4 linked regions of the Rhinolophus ferrumequinum genome follow. The protein of the gene in region 2 interacts with the protein of the main gene of each other region in a biochemical or structural test. Links are inferred from orthologs where the notes say so. Each region holds a gene or a part of one and is shown on either strand. Other genes may lie near its edges.

Evidence for each region.
Region 1: of the proteins of CDK1 (region 2) and H1-5, one has a biochemical effect on the other in vitro, tested with the Homo sapiens proteins (7 studies listed by BioGRID). The link is inferred for Rhinolophus ferrumequinum from reciprocal best matches to the Homo sapiens genes CDK1 and H1-5.
Region 3: of the proteins of CDK1 (region 2) and SP1, one has a biochemical effect on the other in vitro, tested with the Homo sapiens proteins (2 studies listed by BioGRID). The link is inferred for Rhinolophus ferrumequinum from reciprocal best matches to the Homo sapiens genes CDK1 and SP1.
Region 4: of the proteins of CDK1 (region 2) and PKMYT1, one has a biochemical effect on the other in vitro, tested with the Homo sapiens proteins (2 studies listed by BioGRID and IntAct). The link is inferred for Rhinolophus ferrumequinum from reciprocal best matches to the Homo sapiens genes CDK1 and PKMYT1.

Annotation. Positions count from the first base shown.
Region 1 is NC_046305.1:1,998,767-2,005,412, forward strand, and holds H1-5 (histone H1.5), read left to right. Parts: upstream 1-4,775; 5' UTR 4,776-5,079; coding exon 5,080-5,757; 3' UTR 5,758-6,137; downstream 6,138-6,646. Other genes in the region: uncharacterized protein LOC117014580, read left to right, coding at 104-163, 370-498, 1,425-1,926. UniProt on the Homo sapiens protein: Histone H1 protein binds to linker DNA between nucleosomes forming the macromolecular structure known as the chromatin fiber. Histones H1 are necessary for the condensation of nucleosome chains into higher-order structured fibers.
Region 2 is NC_046299.1:41,137,551-41,144,832, reverse strand, and holds the start of CDK1 (cyclin-dependent kinase 1), read right to left. Parts: upstream 3,007-7,282; 5' UTR 2,873-3,006; intron 2,871-2,872; exon of another isoform or gene 2,771-2,870; intron 943-2,770; 5' UTR 918-942; coding exon 881-917; intron 1-880. UniProt on the Homo sapiens protein: Plays a key role in the control of the eukaryotic cell cycle by modulating the centrosome cycle as well as mitotic onset; promotes G2-M transition via association with multiple interphase cyclins.
Region 3 is NC_046293.1:53,250,934-53,258,500, reverse strand, and holds the start of SP1 (transcription factor Sp1), read right to left. Parts: upstream 3,010-7,567; 5' UTR 2,912-3,009; coding exon 2,905-2,911; intron 1,847-2,904; coding exon 1,692-1,846; intron 1,394-1,691; coding exon 1-1,393. UniProt on the Homo sapiens protein: Transcription factor that can activate or repress transcription in response to physiological and pathological stimuli.
Region 4 is NW_022680357.1:4,484,022-4,491,180, reverse strand, and holds the start of PKMYT1 (membrane-associated tyrosine- and threonine-specific cdc2-inhibitory kinase), read left to right. Parts: upstream 1-4,150; 5' UTR 4,151-4,335; intron 4,336-4,725; exon of another isoform or gene 4,726-4,833; intron 4,834-6,686; exon of another isoform or gene 6,687-6,704; intron 6,705-7,159. UniProt on the Homo sapiens protein: Acts as a negative regulator of entry into mitosis (G2 to M transition) by phosphorylation of the CDK1 kinase specifically when CDK1 is complexed to cyclins. Mediates phosphorylation of CDK1 predominantly on 'Thr-14'. Also involved in Golgi fragmentation.

The DNA.
Region 1 (6,646 bases), on a different chromosome or scaffold from region 2:
TCAGGCAGGAATTAGCAAACTGGAGGCCTACCAATGGAGAATGTAAAGCTATAGAAACCCCAGTTTTCGGGCAGGGTCTCTCCGCCCTTTGTTCCTGTGATAGGATTCACTACGGGCTGCGCTGCCGCCTTTGGGCAGTTGGCAGTGACGGGAAGTCCTGGAAGTACCGCCGAGCTCGTCACGCTGTGTTTGGTCCAATAAATGGACATACTAGATCACTGCGAGGGTTCTGCCGGCCGCCCACAGAAACCCCACGTTGCCAGCAAAACGCTGGGTGTTCATTCCTAATATGTTGGCAGCGATCGATGTCAGGAAGGATTGACATCCTTGCCCACCCTCCCGTCCCCCTTTTGTCCCCCCTCTCCCCAGGCACCGGCTGAGAGCCGTCACCCCAAAACCGGTGTCTTTGGGGTTAAATGGCACGAACTGGGTTCTCATTTCTCATGCTGGGTCCCTCCCTAAGCCTGAGGCCAAGCATTTTGTAAGTTACCGCTCTCTGTAAGTTACAGACCCGGGAGCCAGAGTACTAACTCGGGCCGGTAACTAACTGTCCCGAGCCCGAGGGCCTAACTGCATGTGCAAAGAAGGATCTCTGGCTTGTGCGCCCGGCTCCCAGACGGCTCTCGGCCACCTCCCCCCGCCCTCCGCCTGCCAGCTCCCCCCCGCACCCCCGACGTTGTCTACGTGTTCCGGCGGCAGGGCGCTCCTACAGCTTCGGGGGTTAGTTCTTCAAACCGCCATTTCATTACGCAAAGTCCCGTCTTAGGGCCACCCAAGAAATCTAAGACCTGTAGGCATTTTAAAAATCCTTAATTTGGCAGGGCAGCTACCTCGGGTTACGTTAGAGTGATCTTTGTGAATTCACTTAGAAACATCAATTTTGTAATGCCACCAAAAGTGCATTTGGTTCCCCCCCACACACACCCCATGTCCATCACCTAATAGAGTGGCAAAATCTCAGGTGATTCAAATCTACATCGGCTGTTTTGCCTCACTGAAAGCTGTACTCATTCGCGCTGCACTGTCAGGGGCAGTTAGTTACGACTCTGCCTAAACTCCATCACGACCTTTTACAGAAGAAATTGGCCAAACCTTGTTTGAACGAGGTCTTTCGGTGAATGTGAAGCATGCTGCAGTCTGAGAGGACCGGCGCAGCGCAGAGGCTGGAATTAGAAACCACTCCAAGGCCTTCGTTCAGTGCCTCAGTTCCCTTTCAAGTTCACGAAACTTTTTGTCAACAATTCAATCACGACACGTTTTATTTGTAAAAGTGCAAGGAACTTTCAGGACATTTTCTTAAGGATTTTTGATGCATCCTGTGGGGTTTTCAGTCAGTAAGACCGCAATAGAGGTGGGGAAAAGCTTCCTGAAATTATTGAACAAAGAACTAATCCGTGTGGGGTGGAGGGGTGGGAGGGGCATAGGGTATCGTCGAATAGCGGCGGGCGAGTCCCTATAAATACTGGGATGGCTGATTGTTTCTCATTAGTGTTGGAGAATTGGCTTTGCTTACCCATGGCTCGCACGAAGCAGACGGCGCGCAAGTCCACGGGCGGGAAGGCCCCGCGGAAGCAGCTGGCCACCAAGGCGGCCCGCAAGAGCGCGCCGGCCACCGGCGGCGTCAAGAAGCCGCACCGCTACCGGCCGGGCACGGTGGCGCTGCGCGAGATCCGGCGCTACCAGAAGTCCACGGAGCTGCTGATCCGCAAACTGCCCTTCCAGCGGCTGGTCCGCGAGATCGCGCAGGACTTCAAGACGGACCTGCGCTTCCAGAGCTCGGCCGTGATGGCGCTGCAGGAGGCGTGCGAGGCGTACCTGGTGGGGCTGTTCGAGGACACCAACCTGTGCGCCATCCACGCCAAGCGCGTCACCATCATGCCCAAGGACATCCAGCTCGCGCGCCGCATCCGCGGGGAGCGGGCGTAAGTCTCCTTCCTCAGTTAGCATCCCCTGCCCCCAAAGGCTCTTTTCAGAGCCCCTCAATTGTCAGCGAAAAAGAGCTGTTAATTCTGAAAAGTACACGGCATCCTTATATGAAGTGTGGTGTGTCCTTGGTGACTAAGTCACACCACTGCTGCCCACTTGTGCTCCACATCGGCCGTCTGCTTCTCCTGTGACCCTAACAACCGTCCCGCTTGCCGAGTCCCTCATACTCTGCAGTGAGGAGCTGTTTATGGAGAGGCATTACAATGACTCGGTCATTTGAAAATCCAAACAACTTCGACTGCAAGAAGTGATTGAAGGAAAACTGGCCCAAACCTTACAGAAGACTTAACTGGGTTATGCAAATGGGAATCAGTTAAATAGGTAGAATATTCCAGCGCCATTACTTCAGAAATAGGCCTCTTGATTTCTTGTAACACAAGTGTTGCCATGAGTGTTTAAAATCTTGACGGCTTTTTTGTTTTCCAATTTTAGTATACGTGCTGCAGAAGCGAGTGCACCTTTTCTGTTCCGATGTAATGTTTGCAAGTGTATGCTGTGGGCTTTCCATGTGTGACTGGGGAATGGGTGACGATGACCTGTAAGCTGTCATGTAAAATGAGTTCCCAATAGTTCTGAGACAATCTAGAAATACTTGTGCAAGTGTTTTTAAAATATATTTGTCTGTGATTGTTTTGTTTTGTTTTTTTCTATGGAGAATCAGACTAGGGATGAAATCCAGCATGCCGTTTTAAATCTTCCTTGTTTCCACACAATTCTGAGTTTTCTAACCAAACATGGCTGCGTCCCATATTTCCACTTGTTTAGTTTACTCTCGTGCTCTTCGTATTACATGACTGTCAGTGCCTCATTTTGCTGCTTACCTTTTTTGGGTATACACCCTAACTTTAGGAGGTAGCAGTTCTATGAGGGCAGTTTTTCTCCTGATCTCTGGCAGATCAGCCACCTGGGCCTTCCCTTCCTTCCCGTGTCTGGATTTGCCCTTCCAGAGAGAGGCTTATATCTAAACCATTGGCTCCTTGGAAAGCTTTTTGAAAAGTCTCAGAATTGATTCAGAAAAGTCTGATGAGGCCAAAAGCCTCTGATTACAAATCAGTCTGGAGCTCCTGTAGTGGCTCTCAGGTGTAGGGACAACTTGGTGCTGCTTATTCCAAGTTTCAAAGGTTGTTCTCTCCCCATCCCTTTGAGGACCTTCCCATCATACAGACCCAGGACCAGGAGGTCTACCTTCAAACATCTGCCGACAGTGAGCTCTATAACCTTTGGCAAGTCACGCATCTTGTCTCTAGGCCTTAGCTGACAGAGCTGTAAAGTGTGATGAATGAATGGAAATCTGTACAGCTTCCTGAGATTAGTTCCTGGCACTTTGTAAATGCTCAGTGTATATTACCTCTTATTGTTACACTTCCCTCTCCTGCACCTTTAAGCATGGAGGGATTCCCCCCGAATCTTCTAAATGTTTTGTGATTAAAACAATGAGAATTGATTGGTTAGAACACTTTCTTGTTAAAACCTTTTCTTTAGTTCTTGATTTGCATTGTTCTGAAAGAGGCAAGCTTGTGGCGATATGCCACGATCTGTGTCTATGTGGATGCATTCAAAACACAGCATAGGTGCCAGGTAGTAAATATTGTAGGTTTTGCCGGCCACGTATGATCTCTGTCACGGTCTTTTTCTAACACAATTTAAAAATCTAAAAACCACCTTTGAGTAAGGACCATACAAAAATAGGCCTCTGTCCAGTTTGGTCATAGTTGACTATAGTTTCAATTCCAGGAACTCCTAGAGAGAAGTGTGTTGGCTGCTTCACCAGTGTTTCACAGGGAAGAACTAAGTACCGTCAACTGCATTAGAGATCAAAATCATGATTTGATCTCCCTTAGCATCTAGGCCAGACACAAAATCCGATCAACCCCTTGCCCTACTTTCGTTCCAAATAAATAGCAAACTTCATCTTCCATTCCAACCTCAAGATCATTGCCTCAGTTCCCTTGAATGTTAATGTTTTCCTGTATTTTCCTGAATTCAGGAAATTCCCAGTGCACCGTTTTTATAGTAGCCAATTATTTTTCTAAAATATAGGTCTATTATCACTTAATAATTGATGTCTCCTGTCTGCTCAGCGAAGAGGGTGTTCCTGACTGTAATTTGTTAAATACTGACAGGGATTGAGGAGTTTGAAGGAAGACATTGGGAAAAGCAGGAAAACCTGACAAAGTCCCATGGGAGCTAAATAGATTGTGCTTTTGTGAGCTACTGGAAGCCCTTGAAAAATTTTTAACAGGTTTCAGAGGTTTTCTGACACATTATCTGGGCTAAGCATTTTTCATCCTTGTTTTAATAGATTTGCCTAGGAACTAAAGAGAGAACACATCTCAATCAAAACCATACAAATTAAAGTTTGAATTTGAATCCAGGTCGTTGGAAACTGAAGACAAAGCAATTGTTATTTCTCCTGCTGCAAGGTAGAAGTCACTCTGGCAACTGAACATTTCCAAGATGGAAACTACAGACACTGGCACTGAAACACCTAAGAAGCAGAACCGGTTTTTAAAGTCATGTCTGTGTGGCTGGTGTGGGGCTGTAGGCAAGCAGGCGCTCTGTGCGTGTGTTACTTGCTACAGTTAGAAACAAAGTTTATGCCCAAAAGAAGGAGCCTAGGGTCTTTCCTCCTGCAAAAATCAAAGACCAAACTTAGAGAGAAAGCCTTTTAACACACGTTGACTTGATACTTAGTAGACATTTGGTGCAAGATGCAACTAAGTAGCAGGATGCCCAAAGCCCGTGGATTCCTATGGAAAGCTGAAGGGATTTTTAAAAAATATCTTTCATCAGTTGCGCGTGATTCATGAAAACACAGACAAGTATGTGAACCTGGAAGCTGTTTTCCACCTTTGGAGCTTCAAAGCGTCAGATTCTGTACCGTTGATTTCGGAATTTAATCAGATGTTTGGGAGTAAGAAACACAATTTGGGAGTCCAACCGCGAAAGGCGGCCGCCTGAGGGCGGCGGATCCGACGCCCCACCAATCACAGCGCAGCCCCGGCTTATATAAGCCGTAGCCCGAGCCTGGCAGTACTGCGAACTCGCTCTTTGGATTTTGGGTCTCTTTCTCTGGTAGCTCCTCCCATCGCCATGTCGGAAACCGCTCCTGCTGAGACGGCCGCCCCGGCGCCTGTAGAGAAGGCGCCAACAAAGAAGAAGGCGACCAAGAAGGCAGCGGGCGGGGCCGCCAAGCGTAAGGCTTCGGGCCCCCCGGTGTCCGAGCTCATCACCAAGGCGGTGGCCGCCTCCAAGGAGCGCAGCGGCGTGTCGCTGGCCGCGCTCAAGAAGGCGCTGGCTGCCGCCGGCTACGACGTGGACAAGAACAACAGCCGCATCAAGCTGGGTCTCAAGACCCTGGTGAGCAAGGGCACCCTGGTGCAGACTAAGGGCACCGGCGCTTCGGGCTCCTTCAAGCTCAACAAGAAGGCGGCCTCCGGCGAGACGAAGCCGAAACCCAAGAGGGCTGGCGCCGCCAAACCCAGGAAGCCCGCAGGGTCCACTCCCAAAAAGCCCAAGAAGGCCGCGGGGACAAAGAAAGCCGTGAAGAAGACCCCCAAGAAAGTAAAGAAGCCTGCTACCGCCGGTGTCAAAAAGGTGGCCAAGAGCCCCAAGAAGGCCAAGGCTGCTGCGAAGCCTAAGAAGGCCGCCAAGAGCCCAGCCAAGCCCAAGGCGGTTAAGCCTAAAGCGGCCAAACCCAAAGCCGCCAAGCCCAAATCGGCAAAGCCCAAGGCCACCAAGGCCAAGAAGGCAGCTCCGAAAAAGAAGTAGGAAGCTGGTCTTTAAAAAGGCGACAAAACCCAAAGGCTCTTTTCAGAGCCACCCAGAGATCTCTGGAAACAGCTGTGCACTACAGACACCTACAGCAGACCTGGGGGTGTTGACTTGACCATTCACCAAGCAACCCACTACGATTGTAGTTGTTTCGCTTTTAGGTATCCTTGGTACTTAGACTGAAAGTGACAAGTAACCCAGTGTGACCACAGGGCTAAAGCCATAGATGGGTTATTGCCAGCCCCTTCTGTAAAAACTATCCGAAGATCTCATCTGTACTAATATTTTTTTAACTTTGAACACGTGCTTATTTACAAAGGAACATTTAAAAACCCCGCGCTACATTCTGATTTGTCAGTTTTCAGTTGATGGGTAGGAAGTTTAATGTGATATATTTTTGCGCCACCAAATTTAACTTAATGTTTTTTCACGTTTGCCACAAGGTCGTCAATGCACTTGATTGACCTCACTGAACTGATTGAGGAGTGGCTCCCGGATACTGAATCTGTCTGAAATAGCTACTTCCTGAAACCGCTTGCCAAGCTAAATTTCCAGTGCACACTGCTGATAGATAAATTAGGAAACTGGAGTCCCAGCTCTTCACTACAAACATACGGGCCTCTGAAGTCTCCATCTCCTCCCTATCTCGTTCTCTGTGGAGCACTCTCTACGGGGCGGCTAAGCGCTTCACTTTTAACGCTGGGCGTCGGCTGCACTAACCGTCTTAAATTACTTGTGACAAAGTATCTCAGTATCCATTTTAATTGGCCATATTAAGTGTTTAACTTGTAGTTTCAAAATGGATAGTTTCACCTCTATCGGATGTTTAACTACTGACACCTACCGACCAACTCTGCAGTAAGTCACTTTCAAACAACGGCCACGA
Region 2 (7,282 bases):
GCTTTGGAGCACACTAAAGCTATAGTTGGAAATGTTCCTCAAACAGAACCTACATAAATTAGACTCTAGTAGCAAATTGTAAATTATAAGTTATGTCATTTGTTCCTGGAGAGCTTAGAATGTTAATAATATCAAGACACCTATAAAACGTAAGATATGCTGTTGGTGGAGGAAAAACAGGCAGAGGGATATTTTTATCCCTCATTTATAACATATGGATATATTCTTTAAAAACTTTAATGAAATTACAACAGAAAGAACAAATGATTAGATTATTGGTTTTATTAGGTTCGTGCAAAAGTAATTTTGGTTTTTGCAATTATTTTTCTTTTAAACTGCAATTACTTTTGCACCAACCTAAAGAATAGCTTAAACATGTACACACATCATTTAAACCTAGGGGAACACAATAGAAACTTATTTAAATTAGTGTAATAGTCAATTATTGAAACCAATTCGGAAGATTCAGGTAAAAAGATTTTATCATATTAAAAACAATTGTAGGAGACTAAAAGTGTATTACGAAACTTAACATAATTCTACTGTCCTTACTTCTCGCCCCAACACACACACAAGATATCGCTAGTCTTCTCAAAATACAAATATTGCTTTTTAAGTACTTAGTATTAGAAGAATGCAGGATTATGGGGGAGAGGGGCTGTCAGAGTCATATTAGAATAATTTCAATTCTCTTGAAATGTGAACATTTTTGTTATTTCTTGTGTTTAAGTTATTTATGTAAAGGACATATATATTAATGCACAGTAGTGTAAGATGCTTTAAAGTTTGGATTTTAATAAATATTTACATTTCTTCATGTCACAGATGTTATAGCATCATTAAGTCATTAAACATTTTTTTATTACTGAAAAGCACTCACCTTCTCCAATTTTCTCTATTTTGGTATAGTCTTCCATAGTTAATCAATAGGTATGGTAGATGCTAAAATGAGATGAAAAAATTATTTGATTATATGCCACTAATTCAAAAGAGGGGTTTAAGTTATTAATGAAATACTATATGTAAGGTACTTTCCACAGTGCTTAGGTACAGTATTAACTTTTCATAAATATTAGTTATTGCATTAAAACAATATTTACAAGGGAAAGTACTCCAGCAATAAGACTTCCCCACATTTCTTAACCCCTAAAACACTGGAAATATTTGTATCATATATCAGTGTTTAGCTTCTTTCAATCAAATAACCCCTTAAATTCAGACATCAACTTATCTGTCCTTCCCAAACAACCAGAAGTCTGTTTTCTTATGGAATACTTCTAAGGAGCACCAGTATGTGCCAATTACACCCAGATACTTCAACAAATGCTATTTGACTGAATATTTACTGGTTTATGATTTTGTGAAGATAATTTAAAGACATGACTAGGGAGCTAAAATGTGGTCACACTGCACATTCATTAGATTGTTAAAAGCATAAGTGTTTAAGCTTGCTCAAGTGAGTTTTCTGTTTTTAGCAGTCACATACACAAACATGATCAACACTTTCAAGGTATTTTTTGAAAGAGTAGGAAATATCATTTAGCACCCTAAAAGAAAAGGTGCAATTCCACAGACTAAGTTCTAATTATGCCCTATACAATCTCAAGAACAAGTTTATATACATATAAAATATATATGTATATATGTGTATATATGCATATATATATGCATATATATACACATATATATATATATATATTTTTTTAAATCACAAATAATGGTCAAAAAAAAAAAGCTGAAATGCAGATAACCAGACACTCCAGACTTCCTTGGCTGGTAAATTTGCCTATGAAACATAACTAGAAGAAACCCAAAGCATAATTACCTTGATTTTCTAACACACCCGTCACTGATAACATCATATATAAAGGTCATCTGAATACTCTGAGTAATTGGCCCTTAAGTTCTATTTCTCACTTTCATCTTCAGAATCATTCCACAGAAATAGAGATAAATCTTTTTAAATGAACAAAACTGCACTACACTGGCCATGAGTGTCAACCTTAAAAATTTTTAATTTTACGAAATGGCAATGGATGATTAAGATAATTATCTTTCCTTCAGTATCCTGATTTAATATGCCTAATGCACAATAAAATTGTTGAGCTCATTTAGCTAAAAACTAAGTCAATTTCACAGCTGGGTTCGAGTAGCCTCCCTCCATTTTCCTGCCATAACCATTTTTGAATCAAGGATGCAGCGTTAGGCCTTTTGAATACCTCCGAAGGCTCTCAGTACTACTAGCTGCAGGATGTAAAATACCAATGGACTGGCCTGGAGACCTGGCCCAAGTGTGGTTGCTTCCCACTCCCAGAAGCGAGGGCAGAGCGCACAAGGGACCTAGGACCGAGCCTGGCACTTCGCCAGCGCTCGGTGTCGCGGAGCCAATGCCCGGATTTGGCTTCAACCGCGACCCTAAAGCCTCCCTAGCCAGGTGGGCGGCCTCTTCCAGAGAAAAGCCGACCGCGACCCCAGACCGCAACTCCGAAACCAGGGCAGCCGCAGCCCTCCCCGGCTTAACCCCACCAGCTCTGGGCTCCCCTAAACCTCCCTCTAAAGCTGGGACCCGGCGTCACTCACACGCCCAGGCCCGAGCCCGCAGGTGAAGGCCGGGCCCAGCCGCCGGAGGCCCAGCCTGGCCCCACGCTGCCCAGCCCAACTTCCAAATTCCCACCCAGTTACTCAATACTACCCCTCTGAAGCCCCCGAGCCGACCCCTGTGGACCCCACAGGCATGACCCTGACCCAGCAACACTCCCCGGCACGTTACCCCGTGGTAAAAGGGGCAGCGGTGGCTACCGCGTCAGCTTCTCCCTTTCCTTCACTGCTCCGAGCCAGCTTTGAAGCCAAATGCGAGCAGTTTCAAACTCACCGCTCTAAAGGGTCCCGGGTTCGCCAATGAGGTGGCCCGTAGACTTTCAAAGGAGCCAATCAGAGCCCAGTCACGCTTGGGCGGAGTTCTCCGGTGGCTGAAGCGCGAAAGCAGAAGAAAACGGCGGCTGGAGAAAAAGCAGGAGGGCGGGCGCCAAATGAATCTGCGCGCAAGCGCCGTCCTTCATCCCTGGAGAGCGTCGTCCTACTGTTTCTAGTCATCAGGAACCTACTGATCGGTCTCGGTTGGTTCCCCCCCCTTCCTATATCAGCACAATAAAAATTTATTGTGCACAACTAGCTCATCACAAAAGTGATACTATACTTAGATCCAGATTCCATTACTTTGTTCAAACTAGTGTATAGTTATGTTTTTCTAAATAGATGACTTTTGGGCTAGGCCGAAGGAGCACATTTCAAGAAAATGGAAAACTGAAAGACGTCCTCAACAATGTAAAGAAACATGTTTCTTTTATATATATATATATATCTTTTATATATATATAATTGTTTTTACCTCACTTTTTTATTTTAAATTTTTTTATTTATTTAAAATTTTACTTATTTAAAAACTAAAAACAAAATTGTATTTTTTTAATTTCAAAATATTTTCACATCGGTATTTTAAATGTTATTTAAAACAAATAAACAAAGTCACAATTCTATAAGGGAAAAAAAAGAGGTCTTTAAGTAACCCAGTATCAAACATTCTCTTTCATTGCCCTCCACCATATTCTTAAGAGAGATTTCTGCACTTGAACATCATTCTTAAATCTTCAAGACAATAGAAGAGTAAAACAGAATGTGATAATAAGGTTCCCCTAGCAAGAATTTCTCTTTGCACTGACCTTAAAGGGATGCAGAACAAAGAATGATTACCATGACCTCTACAAGTATATTAGATGACCCAGAATAGGAGAAGCAATGGAACTTCTTTTATCACATACGTGGAGGTGTTTAATACCTTTTTACATAAGTAACATGTATCATCTGGCCCTGTATGTGGCACAAATGCTCAGCCTTGACAACTTTATGCTCCTAGGTGACAGAGGCAGAGAATTTAGAGTGGAGGTAGGGGTCTGAAAAAATCTCTACCTGAACCTAATAAACTTTAAAATGCCAAATTCACATTTTAAATGAAAACTGGCTACCCCCAGTAAAGTACTCTAGGAAAGAAGACTGTTCTCTGCTAGTTTAGGGTACTGATTTTAATGAATGAATATATATCTTTCTCTCTGGGAGGCCTAAGCATGGAATTTAATTGAGACCATCTAAAAACAGGTAGTAATTCATTATATCCACTTTATGTTCAACATAAAGAATACCAGAAGTTTCCACAGGTGTGATGCTTGATTTTTTTTTTAATTTAACTTGATTATCTTTGTTTTTGAAGTTTCAGGGATTATTGTAAATTCATGCTATTGTAAATTCATTTTACAGTTTATTACACATAAGTCTCACTTGTATTCAATGTCTCTACAGTGCAATGCTGCGCTTAAATAGACACAAAAATGAATCAGATACAATTCCTGCTCTAAGTGTGGACGTGGGAGAATACAATGATTACTTAGAATTGTTTTCTGGCACTTATGTTGTAATTTATGCTATAAGATAATGTGAGAACATAGAGAAGGAAATTACTAATTCAAGCAGAGGAAGTGACATTTGAACGAACACTGGAGAAAATAAATGTGGGGTGGGCATTCTAAAGCACAGGAGTTTAGAGTCAGAATCTTGAAGAGCCCTGAATACTGTTATAAAAAGTTGCTGAGGAGAGGTACAGTCTTGGAACTGTATGTTAGAACTATTCTGGAGGTAATATGAAAAAAAGAACTGAAGAAGAGAGGATGGAAAGTCATATGCCCCACAAAATTTCATACTTATATTTTGGTAAACTCCATTTAGAAGGAAAAGAAAAGGTTAGTTGGTACTGCACATGAGGCTTTTGTTTTGCTTTGTTTTTAGATATAAGTATTGCTGTGGACTGAATTATGCCCCAACCCCCAATTCATACACCAAAGCCCCACCCTGTAATATGATGATATTTAGAGACGGAGCCTTTGGGAGGTGATTAGATTTAAATGATATCATGAGGTTGAAGCCCTCACTGTGGGATTAGTCCTTTTATAAGATCTCTCCCTTACTCTGTCTCCTCCATGGGAGGACATAGCAAGAAGGGTCCATCTACAAGCAAGAAAGAGAGTTCTCACCAGAACCTGACACTGCCAGCACCCTGATCTCAGACTTCCGGCCTCCAGAACTGTGAGGAAATTAATTTCTGTTGTTTATGCCACCCAGTTTGAGGTATTTTGTTATGGCAGCCCAAGCAGACTAGCACGAGTATTTTTTCAGATAAAATAAATTCGAGAAACAGTTACTTGTGACTACAATAATCCCCCCTTACTAGCAGTTTCACTTTCCACAATTTCAGTTACCTACTGTTTACCATGGTCTGAAAATATTAAATGCAAAATTCCAGAAAGAAACAATTCCTATGTGAATCCTACCTTTGTCCAGCATATCCACTCTGTAGACGCATCCCGTACCCATTAGTCACTTAGTTAATACCCATCTTGGTTATCAGATCCGCTGTCATGGAATCACAGTGCTTGTGTTCAAGTAACTCTAATTTCACTTAATAATGGCCTCAAAGTGCAAGAGCAGTGATGCTGGCAATTCAAAATGCCAAAGAGAAGCCATAAAGCACTTCCTTTAAGTGAAAAGGTGAAAGTTCTTGACTTTATGAGGAAAGAAAAAAGTTGTATGCTGAGGTTGCTAAGCTCTACAGTAAGAACAAGTCTTCCACCCATGAAATAGTGAGGAAGAAAAAAGAAATCCATGCTAGTTTTGCTGTTGCATCTCAAACTAAGAAAGTGCTAGGGAGCTAGATACCCATATCTCACAAGGCCTTCCCAGGTTGTGCTAAAGGATTTGGACAGGATGATGAAATTAAAGGGGAAAAATGGGAGTAGGGGAGTGACATAGTCAGATATGGGAGTTGGAGAGAAAAGTCACTGAAGAGAAGATGCGAGGAGGGACAGTGAGGTAGCATCAGAGCCAGAAGACCAGTGGAGGGCTCTGCGACAGTCCCAACAGGGGCTCAACTAGAGGAGTGTGGGTCAGTTTGAAGAGGAAGAAGTAACGATGAGCTATTTTGAGAAGCTAGGACTGTAAGACCTAAGGAGTCGATCGGGTGTGATGAATAAGGGCGAAAGACTCATCAGGGATGGCGTGGGTGCGGGCTTGACCATGCGTTGATGCCACTGCCATCTGCAGAGAGGCTAAGGAGCAGTCGTGGGGGTAAAATGCCACTCTGGCCTGTGGATTGTGATGTATCATGGGACAGCCACGTGGCCACAGATGGCCAAAGGCAGATACAGGTTCCGTGAGGCCTGAAGTGTATATCATGTAGGGGCCCTTTTTAAATTAAAAAAAAAAAAAAATGCTAAGTTAAGTGTGATGGAAAATATATTTGAGAATAAAAAATTACAAAATATTAAAAGTTAAAAAATACCATCAAGTCACAAAATCCATTAAAAAGTATTTTATTAATTGCCTGACAGATCTTTATATTGCCTTTGTTCTACATTTGAGGGGGTTTACAATTTTTGGAATCCATATTTTAAATGCTTATTTGTTCACCGAACTGATGAGCTATTTATCTTTTTCTCTTTATATGGCACAATTTTGTAATATTTTCTATTAAGAGAGAAAAGATAATGCAGTCTTTCCTTTAGCATGGTTAATCCAAACTGGCTTTTTATGATTGATCATTTCAAAAAAGTTTTTGTGGCTCTCACATCGTTATTGATTATGTCACATATATTTTTAGCATTTCTGTCAAATGTGAGAAAACATCAAGTTTCTTTCACATACTTGTATGTGTCTATGCTACTACTCTACTCATAAACTTGTGCCTTACAAACACAGGAATTATGCAAAATTCTAATGTGCATCATTCTAAATATTCCAGATTTCAAAAATTGTCTGATATATTTATAATTGTCCATGCTGTGGTAACAAGCGTATTCCTGACACAGGAGAAATTCAGTTTAGATGCGGTAATGATATAATTTTATGCATGTTATAATTGACAGCATTGCCCACAGGTTAGCTTCTCCTCTATTACCCACTTCCCATTTACTTAGAGTTCATATAAAATCTCTGACCCTATCCCTTCATGTCCAGAGGCCAAGAGAGTCAGCTGAATGGATGGGCAGAGTATTCCCAGAAGCCCTTCCTACGTTAGGACTGGTGGCAATAACTTGGAAGTGTGGTGGGTAAATAACTAGATGCCGCTAATCCTAAACTAAATGTATCCTCAACTCAGCTTCCTCTGAGCCAATTCTCACCATTGTTCATGGTCCTGCCGGTGCCACTGGACAGGTGGGGAAGTGTGACTGACGGAGTG
Region 3 (7,567 bases), on a different chromosome or scaffold from region 2:
TCACAGTGACGGTGCCGGCAGGGATAGAGGCAGCTGAGGCAATGGGTGTAAGGGTGGTATTGCTGCTGCTGGTCTGCCCCAGGGAAACACCCTGCATTGGGGCCAGCGTGATTGTCTGGGCCTGTGGGTTCTGAACTTGGAGGTTTTGCAGCTGAAGAGTCTGCCAACTGACCTGTCCATTGGGCCCCACTGTTGGTGTCCGGATGATGATGGGGCCAGAGTTTGGAACAGCCTGCAGCTGTAGGTTCTGGAGGGTTTCCTGGGAGATAGCTTGAGTCGTAAAGGTCTGCCCTGACAATGGTGCTGCTTGAAGAGCCTGGAGGGTCTGTCCTCCTTGAACTAGCTGAGGCTGGATAAGAATTTGTTGTTGCTGTGACTGCTGGTTTTGCTCTCCCTCTTTTTGCTGACTTGCTTGCATTGAGCCTCCGGATGTCTGGTTCTGCTGGATGTTTAGAGTATCAGACCCCTGTAGCCCACTGACTCTCTGGGGTGTCTGGCCTTGAGAGTTGGTCCCTGCTGATCCGCTGGTGGTAAAGTTCATAATTCCCATGTTGCTGGTGGTAGTAGTTGTTGAATAGCTATTGGCATTGGTGAAAAAGGAGCTGGAACTGGCTTGTGATGATACCAAAGTGGCAGAACTGATGGCAGTCCCTGAGGTGACGGGCTGGGAGCCACTCTCCTGGGACCCAGAGCTGCTGATAGTGACTGCCTGAGAGCTAGGAGTCAAGGTAGCTGCAGAAACGCTATTAACAGGTAGCAAAGTGATATTCCCATTCAGGGCCACTGGTACATTGGTCACATACTGAGTTTGTCCTGAGAGTACATTATTAGCCAGGCCTTGCAGGGGGACAGCCTGTTGGAGTAGATTTGGCATAGCAGCAATGATGTTGCCTCCACTTCCTCGATTTGTGATGATCTGTTGGTTTGCACCTGGTATGATCTGTATTTGACCAGAACCATCCTGCTGCACTTGGGCCCCAGTGGCAGCGAATTGCAGCTGTTGCCCATCAACGGTCTGGAACTGTGGGATTACTTGATACTGAATGTTAGGCATCACTCCAGGTAGTCCTGTCAAGACTTGCTGGTTCTGTAAGTTGGAGGTGGCAGCCACAACATACTGCCCACCAGAGACCGTGCGATTCTTGGAAGACTCACTGCCATTGCTGCCATTGGTACTGCTGCCACTCTGTTCCTTTGAGGTAGGGGTAGCCCCAGAGGAGGAAGAGATGATCTGCCAGCCATTGGCACCCTGTGAGAGTTGTGTGGCCGTGAGGTCAAGCTCACTGGTGCCCCCTGACTGGCCTGGGCCCTGCGAGTTGTTGCTGTTTTCATTGGGTGATTCAATTCTGCTGCAAGTTGCTGCCAGCAGAGCCAAAGGGGATGGCTGGGATTCCTGGCCAAAAAATAAGACAGAGGAAAGGAATCAGTTCAGTGACACCCAGCTGCGGGGGGAGGGGGGGGGGCAGTATACTATAAACAAACAGCAACACAGTGCAAACAAATAAAGAGAAAATGAACAAAACGCTGAAATTGACATTTTTGGGGCTCTCCCAATCACTTGTCTCTCTGTACTTACTTCCCTATCTCTAAAAGGGTGAACCCCTTCCTAAATTCTTTTCTGTGGAGATAATCACCTAAAGATGGGTACATCCTCTCAACACCTTGGCCGCTCTGTCCTGATCAGCACTTACCTGTCCTCCTCCTCCACTGCTGCTGCTACTGCCTGTGCTGCTGCTTCGAGCCTGGGAAAAGGCACCACCACCATTACCATTGCCCCCATTATTGCCACCAACTCCTTTTTCAATCTTCACCACGGCTGTCATTTCATCCATGGAGTGATCTTGGTCTAAAAAGAATGAAAGGATAGACAACTTAAAGTTGAGGGAAGGAAAAGGGTAAAGTGAGGAAGAATAGAAGAGGCTATGATGAAACAGGCATGACTAACAGGAAGGTGAAACATGCCAGCGTAAAAAAAAAAAAAAAGGATTGGGGGAGAAGGAACAGTTGTAGAATGTGTAGCACATGAGCTAGGCTTATTGGTGCCAAAACTGGGCCTCAACTCTCCTTTGCACTAAGTTAAACTCAGAAAATATTGAAAAGGTGCTTTTGGCATAGGAAGTGTGAAGGACAGTGGGCATGTTGAAAGAGTTTCAAAACAAGAAAAAGTATCCTGGGGGAAAAAAATAAGGATAAAACAAAAAACAACATGTGGGTGGATGGAAAGCTTGCTAAAATTAGGGTCAAAAGAGATGGAGAAAGAGAAAAATTCAAGTGTAAAAAGTAACAAGAGAGGAGGGCAAAGGGAAAAAAAGTTGAGAAGTGTGAGTGGGGAAACATTTGTGAATACTGGTGGTAAGGGGCTAAACGGGTCCAGGACACAGAAATCAGGTTTCCTGGCGGACTGAGGGCGGACCCTAGAGGGAAAGGGCGGTTTCGGGGTGAGGGGCGTGGAAAGGGCGGGACAGTGGGGGGGAGGGGAAATCTACGGAAGGTGGGGAGGGCCCTGGGGCAGGCGGCGACCAGAGGGCGGACCAGGGAGGCGGTTGGCCCGGGCGGGGCCTGCACTGCTCGGGCCGCCCCCGCGGCTCCAGCCCCCGGCAGGAGGAGCCTTAGGCAGGCGGCCGAGTAGTGGGGGGTAAGGCCCGTCCCCCCCGTGGCCGGGGCGGGCAGGGGGCGGGCGAGGCCACTCTGCCCCCTCCCCCGGGGCGGGCGGCCCATCCCCCTCCTCCTCGGAGGCCCCGCCACTGCCCCTTCTCCCTCCCTTCCCTCCGCCCCGGGCGGGACCAAGGCCGCCGCCGCCGCCTCCCGCCCGCCCCCCCTCATGGCGGGGACCGCCTGGTCGGCCCTCGCGCGCGCCCCCTCATTCCCCTACCACCCCTAAGCTTGGAGTGGACTCATCCTTACCGCTCATGGTGGCAGCTGAGGGACGAGCTCAAGGGGGTCCTGTCCGGGGGGGTTGGGGGGGGCCGGGAAAAACGCGGACGCTGACGAGGCAAACGAACCCGTACCGGACAGGGAGGGGGGGGTAAGGAGGAGGGAGCAGCGCGCCACAAGCCCGGCCTAGGCCCCTCCCCTTCACTGCTGCCCCGCCCAATGAGGGAGGGAGGAAGGAGGGACTTGCAGAAGAAAGGCGGGCAGGTTACCCAATGGTAAGACTCGCTTACTCTCTAAGGCGTGTAAGACAAAGTTGCGTGCCCGGTGTCCGCCCTAAAAGGCCGCCCTCTCAATTTTCAAAACCAATGAAAGACGCAGGAAGTGAATGTGGGCGGGAGCTAGAAATGATAGGCTTGGAAAGGAACCAGTCAACTGCCAGGCGGGCTCCTTGAGAGGTAGAGATAGGAAGAGCTTTGGTTGGAGTGACAAAACAACGACCAACCAGAACCCTGGACGTGCCTGAGCAAAGTCCCAGTGGGAGGAGCGATAAGAAGTAGGCAGGAATGGGAGAGGATGAAGTTGATCAAAACCAATCAGAAATCAGGCGGGCAGCCAGGAAAGTTGTGATTGGATTAACGCTGAAAAGAGACAAGATAAGACGCAAATTGACGGGAACTAAAAGCCAATTAAACACCGAATGAACTCTAAGGGTGGGAACTCGGAGTAGTCAGAGGAGAATTGGCGTCTCACTCAGTCACTCAGTCCAATGAGGCGGCGAAGGAAGCCAGACACCGCCTCCATCTTGGCTGATGGGCGTTACTAGAGCCGCCTCTCATGGGGGAGGGAACAGGGCTGTGCCAAGAGGAGTCCGTCGCCATATTGGCCCTCCTCAGGGGACGTCTTTACAGTGACTGGGTGCTATGCTTTAGCGGAGCCCTCTAGCTCAACAAGTGTCAGGGCCAAGAAACTCAGTGTGCAGTTCTGCCTCGCCACCAGGGCTCTTTTACGTCTTCTTTTAACGTCCCTTAAAAAAAAAGTATTTCTCAAGTCTCACTCTACCCAGGCTGGGCGGACAGGCAGTCGGATGCCTCTGAACGTGGGTGTAAACCCTGAGGGTGCCAGCGCAATGAGATCTGGCGACGTTGCTCACGCCTTCAGTCAACACTGAGCTGACCAATTTGCAAGGCCTTTGTGAGATTACAGCAAACGCCATTTTATTAAATTTCCCCAAAGGTGCTGACCACTTAATTTATGGCAGATTAACTTTTCAAGAACTCTTGAGGCTAAAGTGCACTGGAGAACCCAGAGTCAAGGTCCTGTAAGCCACTTACTCCCCCGCCACTTGCAATTGTAAATGCCGTCTAATCATAAAACAAGGTAGTAGAACAGTTTTTTTGTTGTGGTTGTTTTTTTTACAACTACAAAGGTTTTAAAGGAGCTATTTCCCCAGGTACCTGAATTTCTGCTCTCCCATCCTGCCTTCCTTTTCTAGTTTTGGTGGAGGCAGCCTGGGTGGTTTGTGGTCAAGAATGATGAGGTCATTCTCTTTAGCACTTGTATGTTATATATGTTATCACTTAAATAGCTACAATTTCAGCGCTTGTGATAGGTTGTCATGTTTTAAAGTCTGGATTCCCCTAAAACAGACCTCTGCAGTCTTGGGCAGGGCCTGAAGACAGGTGACGTGATTGTTGAATGTGTTAGGTGCCTAGGTCAGTTAGGTGTTTTGCATTCTTTATGTCATGCTCATATGGAAGATACTAGTAAGTTTTAGAGATTATATGTTTTATAACTGAAGAAATTAAGGCTGGGAAGTAACTTGCCCAAGGTCACAAAGCTAATAAGTTGTAGTTCCAGATTCCAACCCAGAATAGTACCACAAAAAGTCTTGTATAAATTCTTTGTAGAGAATAAAGCAATGCCTTGTATAACCATTTAGAAAAATGGCTTAATAAAAAAAAATTTCTGCCTCCTTCGCTCTCCCATCTTTCCCTCCTCTGGCTTTTTCTTCCTAACTCAAGGAAGTCCGCTTCCCCGAAGGGGTCTGAGCCTTTATTGTTTTTTTGTTTTTTTTCTTTTTCTTTATTGTTTTTTAAAAATGCTTTTATTTTTTTATTTATTTATTTTTTTTAAAGATTTTATTGGGGGGGAACAAGACTTTATTGGGGAACAGTGTGTACTTCCAGGCCTTTTTTCCAAGTCAAGTTGTTGTCCTTTCAATCTTAGTTGTGGAGGGCGCAGCTCAGCTCCAGGTCCCGTTGCCGTTGCTAGTTGCAGGGGGTACAGCCCACCATCCCTTGCGGGAGTCGAACCGGCAACCTTGTGGTTGAGAGGACACACTCCAACCAACTGAGCCATCCGGGAGCTCAACGGCAGCTCAGCTCAAGGTGTCCTGTTCAATCTTAGTTGCAGGGGGCAGAGCCCACCGTCCCTTGTGGGACTCGAGGAGTAGAACCAGCAGCCTTGTGGTTGAGAGCCCAGTGGCCCATGTGGGAATCGAACCGGCAGCCTTCGGAGTTAGGAGCACGGAGCTCTAACTGCCTGAGCCACCGGGCCGGCCCTTAAAAATGCTTTTATCATGTTACCTTCTAGCTCCTGAAAAAATGCTGCCATACTTCCAGGATAGTTCAAATGGCACCCTCGCCTTGTACACCTTTATTAGAAAACATCACAGTACATTATAGTTAGCAGCGTCTCTCCCTAGATCAAAGCGTCTCACACTATGTCAGACAATCCCCATCAGAAGGCTGTGGGCTGCTTTTTAAAAAGGTCGATTCCACTAACAATTGTCACCCCAATAAATTAAAAATAAATTTAATAAAAAAAAAAAAAAGTCAGATGAGGTGTCATCAGAAAATATAACATAGATTCAAAATATGATAGCAGCACCATACATTAATTCTAAATCAATATTACTGTATGATTATCAAAACTTTTGTATGCTTAAATTACTCATTTCTCCATAGCAAAATAAAGATACCTATTTGATTATAAAAAAAAAAAAAAAAAAGGTCGATCCCTAGACCCCATCTCAGATGGAATAAATCCCATTCTCTCCGGTGGGGCTTGACAGTATGCATTTTGTAGTAGCTCTTTCAAGTGATTAGTCCCTAAACCAGTTTTAAGAAACACTGTGGGAAGAAACTGGAGAGAAGAAATTTCCAGAAGGGAAGAAACTTCCCAAGGGAAAAAACTGCATTAGTCATCTTTGTAAACCAAGCTGTCAAGATTGTAACAGCTGTTCAGTGCATTCAGCCTAAGACCACACCTAAACTGGGGGGGCTAACATTGTAGAGCAGTCCTCTGAACATTTCACACACATTGTCCAACTTAATCCTTTCAACCAATTGAAGAAACTGCCATCTCCTTTTACAGATGAGAAAACTGAAGCTCAGATACTTCCGTTAAATTCATGACTGCTCTGTTTAATCCCAAACTTTGTGTTTTTTCCATGGTTCTAAGCTATGCCTAAAATGAGAACTAGGGTTGGATTTTATCCCAGATACTGAGAAAAGGCTTAGATATAGACTCAGCAATTCCGGAGCCATCATCCTTTTCCCAATACTGTTTCTCCAGGACAAGACAAAATTCAGAACCTGGCTAGTGAGGGATGGTTGCTTATTGATGGTCCCTGAAAGCAAATGGGCATGATCCATCTTGTCCAATTATCTGTAAAACCTGAACAAATTTTTTTTAGACTTAACACAAAAACCAAAAATGAATCAACTTATTTCAAGGCTTCTTAAATCACTTAATTCCTAATGACTGTGTTTTAAAAACACAGTGTTTTAAAAAGCAATGTAGGGGGCGGCCGGTTAGTTCAGTTGGTTAGAGTGCTGTGCTCTTAACAACAAGGTTGAGGTTTCAAATCCAGCATGGGATGGTGGGAGGCGCTCTGTGCAACTAAAGATTGAAACCGGCAACTGGACTTGGAGCTGAGCTGTGCCCACCACAACTAGATTGAAGGACAACAACTTAGAACTAATGGACCCTGGAGAAACACACTGTTCCCCAATGTTCCCCAATAAAATTAATAAAAGGAAAAAGAACGAGTTCTATGAAGTCTTTCCTACCTCCCGCAGGTATTGAATACTCTGTCTACCGTGTTTGGTTTACACACCTCCACTAGAGGTATCTAAATATCTGATTCTCCAACTACACAAAGCAATCTGAGGGCCCAGATGATGCCTTTTCACTTTATATCCTCAGGGGCTAGCATATAGTTGACACCCAGTAAACATTTGTTAAGTAGAAGGGGAAGCATAATTCCATAGTTACCCAACATCCTAAATAGGTCTCCAGATTGATTCTCAGCCTTCAGTTGGTTGTCTTTTACAAGTTAAATCATTCTTCCTGATTTTGAAGCCACTTTGTAGCTTTCATCAATTTCCCACTTAGCAATCTGGTAACTGGGAACATTTTACAAATTAAAATACATAGGTGAGTCAAAACTCTCTTTTTACACCATCATTGCAACATTCCCTCTCAGTAAGTTTTCAACTACAGCTAAGTACAAAACAGACTAACCTTTCTTTTACCTGCCCTGCCTACTCTAGGATAAATGAGATTAAAAAGAGTAAGAGACAGAGAGAGAGAGAGAGAGAAATAGTCCGACAGGTTAAGTCTCAGCAGATAATGTTCTAAACCTTTAATTCTAGCTCTCTGAACAAGAAAACAAGCCTAGGTTTCTCAC
Region 4 (7,159 bases), on a different chromosome or scaffold from region 2:
CTGGGCTGTACCCCTGCTGTGTTTTCTCCCCACACACGAGGGCCCACAGCCAGGGATCATGCTTGTCTGAGGGCATGTGCACGTGCACACACACACATACAACCCTACCCATGGTACCCATAGACCCACCTTTGCACAAGGCTCCGGCTGGGTCCTCTCAGCCCAATGCCCTGGCAGAGCACCCCACATACCCACCTCCTGCCCTGTCCAGCAGAGAGCCGTGACCCGGAGTCCTGGAGGCTGGACCTGCCATTGGCTGCTGGGAGTGGCTCAGGGGTGGCCCCTGACTCCAACCACCCATGAGAGCTTGGAATACCTAGGACAGTCCAGGCAGGCTCCTTGGAGAGGGCTTTTCTGCCAGGCCACCTGCTTCTCCCCAGGGCAGGAGGTACTGGCTCCCTGGTATCCTCATGGAGGGCAGCTGAGTGGCCTCATGGTTAGCAGGCTGGGTGCTGGATTCGGATTCAGACTGGCTTCAAGTACTCAGTCTACCTGGCTGGGGAGCTTGAGCAGGAATCTGCCCTCCCTGAGTCTGTTTTCTCTTTAAAATTACGACACTAATGGTACCACCGTGTTAGGGCTATTGGGGGAGCTACTTTGGACCCTATTTTATAGATGGGGAAACAGAGGCAGAGAGGAGAAGGGACTTAGCTCCGATTGTATACCCCCTAAGCAGCAGGGCTGGGATTTGAAGCCTGGCAGTGTACAGCGCCCCCTGAGTCCACCGTCCTCTGCCCTCTGATACTCCACACACTTCTGGGCAGCAACAAGACCAGTTGCCCCAGACACTGCATTGCTCTTTGCCTGCCTCATGCCAGTCTGGGCCCAAGGTATCTGTTTCAGACCTGGGATAGCTGAGGGCCCCCCACACAGACCCAGACACACAGACAGTCAGCTCACCCTGCAGGGTGCCAGGGAAACTTGGCACAAGAGGAGGCAGGCGGGAAGACCAGGAGGGGCCATGCAGGAGGTACAGGCCGGGTGCCTGCTTGGCCACTGCTAGAGGGAATGCTGGTGCCCGCCACCAGTGCCAGGCTGCCTGGGTGCTGGCATGGGCCTGTGGGAAATGCCAGTCAGCCAGCCAGGGGCCTTGGGCCAGCTTGATGCCACTCAGGACCAGGGCTGGGCCCAGTTGGGTACCCACAGCCCTTGCATTGCTGACACCCCCACTTCCAGCACAGCCGATCCCGTCAGCTCAGCCCCAGCTCTACCCAGGCAAGGAGGGCCTAAGAGCGCATCAACCACTTGGGGGCTAAAAGAACCCCTGATGGAGCCTGGACCTGAGTTACCCTTTACCCCCAGGCATGAGGGCACATGGCCCAGGCTCTGGCTACAGGAGCAACTTTGACGGGTAGAGCTAGAAGCCCAGGACAAGGTGACAGCTGGGGTGTTAAAAGTTCAAGATGGAGGCCCAGGAAGTACATCGCCTAAAATGGCACAGCCTGTGTCAGTAGACTCCCAGCCAGCTGCTCATGGTAGCAGCACCTGCCAGGGTGGGAATTTGGGGATGACAGCTGGAGGGGTGGCCAGGCGCCTGCAGGGCAGACACCTTCTGAACCCGCAGCTATACTAAAGGCTCCTTAGGTCGCCCCTTCAGCAATCTATCTGGCAGCTCTTCAGCCCCAATCGCGGGATTAGCATCTCTGAGACACTTTCCCAGGCATCCCTAAGCACTTGCACTGTGCAAAGCTGACCTTTGTTAACTTCTTCTCCTCACCCACTTGTTAGTTTATTAAAACCTTATGCCAGTGTGAAATATGGCATACATTCCGAAGCGTGCATAAAACAGAAATGTACAATATAATAAATATCTATTAAAGCAAACACCTATGCAGCTGGCTCCAAGGTCAAAAAATAGAACAAGGCCAGATTCCCCAGAAGTACCCATCACGATCTCCTCTTTCCTGCTATGTAGCCAGGTTTGCGTAAGTGGCCGTCATTTCCTTACCTTTCTTATCTCACGGTATCCTGTTTTGTGGCCCCATCCCTGAAGGGACATCCCGGTGTGTGTGTGGCGGGGGAGGGGGGGGGGTAGTCCGGGCGGGGTCGCGGTGCTGTTGCCGCGACGGGACACATGGGGGCGTGCGCGGCCCAAACCGGCTCTTACCTGGGTGTGCGACCGGACCCCGGGAATCCCGCGCCTGGGCCGGGATTGGGGGTTTCTTCCTGGACTGATCCCCAGCCAAGCGCTTTGGTCTCGAATCCCTGTGACCCCGGGTGCAAAAGTCCCGGCCCCTCTCCTCCAGGTTCCTCCTTTTGAACCAGGAAGCTGCTTTGAAAACTGCAAAATACTATACAAATGAGGGAGTGTTACTGTTATTATTAAAGAGAGTAAGCTCCTTCTGTGTGCTAGGTTCTGTGCTAAGCATTTCACATGCATTTTCTCATTTAATGCTCATACCCCAAGAAGGTAAGAACTATTATTATCCCCATTTTACAAATGTGGAAACAGGCCCAGAGACATAAAGCAACTTGCCCATGATTGCACAGCTTTTGTGTGGCATAGGAGCCCTAATTGCCCTGACTCTATGACCCATGCTCTTACCTGCTATCTGTACTTAGCTTTACATTATATCCCTTCCACACAGTGAAATGTCCATTGGAAGCATGTTTTGAATTAAAAAGAAATATATATATATATATATATATATATATATATATATATATATATATATATATATATATGTATGTATAATTTTTTTTTAAGTCATTGTGAATAACTTCCAAGAATGAGCAGTTGGAAAGGGGCCTGAGTCCCAAAGTCCTGGAGATGGGGCTGGCAGAGGGGATGGTAGCTGGGGAGGGGCCTGCCTTCTTCTCAGGCCTCCTGGGGACAAGTCTGGGGTCCTTAACAGGGGTTCAGTCTGAGTCACAGGGGCTGTGGCTGCCAGAGGTGCTAGTGCAAAGGACCGGTGCATGGAGGGGGTGGGGGCTGCAGGCCCCAGAGAAGTTCTGGGCCTGATGTGGGACGGGCTGGTCCATTAACTGGAGAGTGTTCGCTGAAGGGCAGGAGCGCAGTGGGCTGGGAACCCTGCAGTCCCTGACTTTGCAGACTTGGTGGAGGGGTGGTCAAAGGGTGAACCAAGAGGATAGAATTTCAGACAGAGATAAGTGCAATCCGCAAAGGAAAGGATATATGATGAGATGTGGAGGGTTCTAGGGAGGATGGCCTGGAAGCGTGACTCCCCCCTGCCTTGTTCAACGGATAAAAGATGCTGTCCGTGAAGGAGCAACGCCTGCAGCACTAAGGTTAGGAATCAGCGCCTGCTCTGTGCTGCTCCCCTGCTGAGAACTTTAAGGGGATCATTCCATATGAACCTCCAGCTCCGTGAGGTAACTTTCACCAGCTCAGTTTTCACGGGAGAGGAGACTAATCTGAATCTCAGGCCCTAGTACATTCCAAGGTCATTCCGCCAGGAAGCAGTTGAGGTAGCTGTGAGCTGAACTCAAGGCTCAAATCCAAACGATGGTAAGGGCTGCCTCGGAGGTGGCTGAGCCCTGGAAGTAGGGAGGGATCCGGCCTGGATGTCTAGGGGGCTTCCTGAGAGGGGCAGAATGTTCTGGTTCCTGAAGCAGAAGCCGCGCGTTCCGCGGGTCGGGGAAATGTCTATCTGGCCTGCCCATGACATCCCCGGTGTGGTGCACTGCAGGTGTGAGGGGGGAGCCTGCGAGCCCAGGGGACTCCGCCCCGTCAGGATCCCAGAGGCCGCAGGGACTTCCAGTCCTACCCTGAGGTGATCGCCTCCTGAGGCGACACCTCTGGGGCAAAATGCGGTGACCACTCCTTTTACAGACGCGAATACTGTCAGCCCAGCGAGAGACGTGGGTTTTGGGACAGCGAACTAGGGGTCGGTCGACATTCCGAGAACCGGGCGGAAGGGGCACAAAGCTGGCTCAGGCCGGGCGCAGCGCCTCAGCCTCCAGGCCCTGCGGTGCGGCCACTCCCGCCCCCGGGCCGGCGCCAAGGACACTTTGCGCCTGCGCAATGAGAGCGCAAGGGCTGAGGCGCTTGGGGGGCGTGGTCGGCGACCCGCACGCAGGGACGTAGGGGGCGGAGCCCCAGGAGGCTGGGCGCCTCTGATGGGCTGCATCGGGAAGGGGGCAGGGCAAGAGGAGTTCTTGGGCGGGGCCTCGATTCCGGTTTGGAATTTTTGGCGCGAGTCAGTTCCGCGCGCGTTCACGGGCAGTTCCCCCTCCAGAGAGTCCTCTTGCCCCGTCGTAGAGAGCTGTCGACGGCAGACCTCAGCCCTCCTGACCGCCCCCGAGGTCTCCCGCGACCTCTGCCGACCCAGAATCTGGGACCTCGCGGAGCTGCTCCCCGCCCTCTCGCCCCAGGTGAGCCCAGGCCCGGCCCTGAGGGTTCTCGAGCCGGACCGCCCTCCCCTCCTCTCCTCCTCCCTCTCGTCAGCCTCACCCCGCTCCAGCCTCCTTCCTCATCCCCCTCCTACAGCCCCCCTTCCCTGTCGAATTGGGTTCTGCCCTACCCATCTGCTAACCCCTCTCTGGGCCAGTCCAGCCCCGGGCGGCCCCTCCCACTCCCCTCTAGCCTCTCTGGCGAGTCCCCTTGCTGCCCTCTCTCCTTCCCCAGCCTCCCTGTCCCCTTTCATTTGGTAACCCCTTCCCCTAGCGACTGCCCTCCCTTATTTGGCCCTCCCCAGGAAAAGCCCCACTCACGTTCCCCCTACAGCCCCTCCCCCGTGACAGTCGGTCTACTCTGTTCGCCAGGGTTTCCCCACGCCCACGGAGGTGAATCAGCTGTGGGCCTGCCCGCGAGGAGCTCACAGTCTAGCGTGGTAGACCGTGGTCAGCAGATGTGTCCAGCCCAGTGAGAGGGTGAGGCCTGTGGAAGCTGCAGAGGTCACCTGGCCCGTCCTCTGCTCAGGGCCACCCTGGATTCTCCCGGGAGCTCCTGCTCCTTCTACCTTCCCTGTCCCACCCCCAAAGCTGTTTGGCCAGGCCAGTGGTGCTAGAATGTAAATGAAAGTGGGATGGTCTGACAACTGGTTTAAGATGCAGATCTTAAAAGATTTAAGTGTCTCAGAATGTGCCAGGACTGCGCCTGGAGGCTGTACATACTTCTAACCAGCTTCTAACCAGCGTCCTGGGGATCCTGACATTCCAGTTCTTTACTTTGAGAAACCCGTAGGATTCCTGAGGTAAAAGGGGCAGAGGAAAGGTCCACACATTATGTAGGGTGAGCCTTCCAGGATGGCACTGTTGGGGGTCCCTCCCTCAGCCCTCACTCGCCCAGGGACAGGAGGGCACACTTCAGATGACTGCCCCCTTTTCAGTTACTGACTCACCCCTTGTTGGGTATGGCATCTTTTGATACACTGCCTTTCTCTCAAAAATTAAACTCCTCTCCCTTTTGTTTTCTTGTTTTTGTTTCAATTACAATGTAATTGTGTAATAACACAGCAGCCGGGTGCAGATACACAATCTTTGTGTATCTCTGCTCCAATACACAGTCACTTACACCCATGGGACCATTGCAACTTTGTGTGTTCTCTCAATGACTACTCAGAGCATTATTTATTATATATTATTTATTATATAATGAATAATTATATAGCATTTATTGAGGACTCTGCATGCCAGACACTGGGCTGAGCCTTCCCTGACTTCAGCATTACAGGTCCACAAACTCTTGAGGCCAGGAGTGTTTCAGAATTCAAAATATGTCAGATTTTAGAAAGCTAATAGGGTGCATATAACATTTATATGTAACACCACCCATGAGTCTGGGACATCATCCAACAATTAAACACATTAATATTTCTGTCAAGAAATCTATGAATATTCACACTGAGAGGAAAAAAGTAGGTCAGACCAGATTTTTCTGCTAAATGATTTTTGCATATAGATATCTAGCTGTCCCAGCACCATTTGTTGAGAAGATTATTCTCTCCCACAATTGTTTTGGCACCCTTGTCAAAGTCAATTGATTAGAAATGTGAGGGTTTATTTCTGAATTCTGTTTTAGTGCATTGATATATATATCTATCCTTGTGTGAGTACCACACTGTTTTGATTATTGTAGCTTTGAAGTAAGTTTTGAAGTTGGGAAGTGCAAGTCCTCCAACTTCATTTTGATTGTTTTGTTTTGACTATTCTGGGGCCTATGAATGTCTATATGAATTTTAGGATCAGCTTGTCAATTTCTGCAAACAATCCAGCTGGGATTCTGATAAGGATTGTACTGAATCCGTAGATCAATTTGGAAAGTATTGCCATTTCATTCATATTAAGTCTTTGGATCTATGAACATGTAATGTCTTTCTGTTTATTTAGGTTGTTGTTTATTTCTTAAGCTGAGGGGGAAAAGGAAAGAGCGTACATATCCATAATATTTGTTATGTTGACCTTATTCACCACTTTTCGTTCTCTTCATTTATTCCTGTGGGTTTGAGTTACCATCTGGTGTCATTTTCTAGTCCAATATAGTTTTGTTCCCACCCACCTCCTTTGTGCTGTTATTTGCAAGTATATTACATTTCTCTGTTATATGCTCAACAATACAATTACATACATATTCTTTTTAAATCAGTTAAGAGAAGAAGGGAGAAGAAATATGTATTTATTCTGTCTTATATTACATACTTATCCTAATCGGTGATCTTTGTTTTTTTATGTAGGTTAGAATTACTATTTGGGATCAGTGCTTTCAGCCTGAAGAATTTCCTTTACTTTTTCTTGTAAAGCAGGTCTGTTGGCAATGAATTCTTTATTTTGTTTATCTGTGAATGTCTTTATTTTGCCTTTATTTTTGAAAGATAGTTTTGTTAGATACAGGATTCTTGGTTTACAAATCTCCCTCCTCCCCGCCAGCACTTGGAATGTCATCCTGTTGCCTTCTGGCCTCCATTGTTTCTGATGAGAATTCAGCAGTTAATCTTATGGAGAGGCTTGTAAGTGATGAGTCATTTTTCTTTTGCTGCTCTCAAGATTTTCTCCTTGTTTTGGTTCACTCAGCACTTTTAATATGATGTGTCTGTGTGTGGATCTCTGCATTTATCCTACTTGAATTCATTGCACTTCTTGGCTCTGTTAATGTTCTTCTAAATCATATTTGGGAAGTTTTTATCCATTATTTCTTAGCATATATTTCCTGCTCCTTCTCTCTTTCTGGGACACTCATTATGCCTATATTGGTACACTA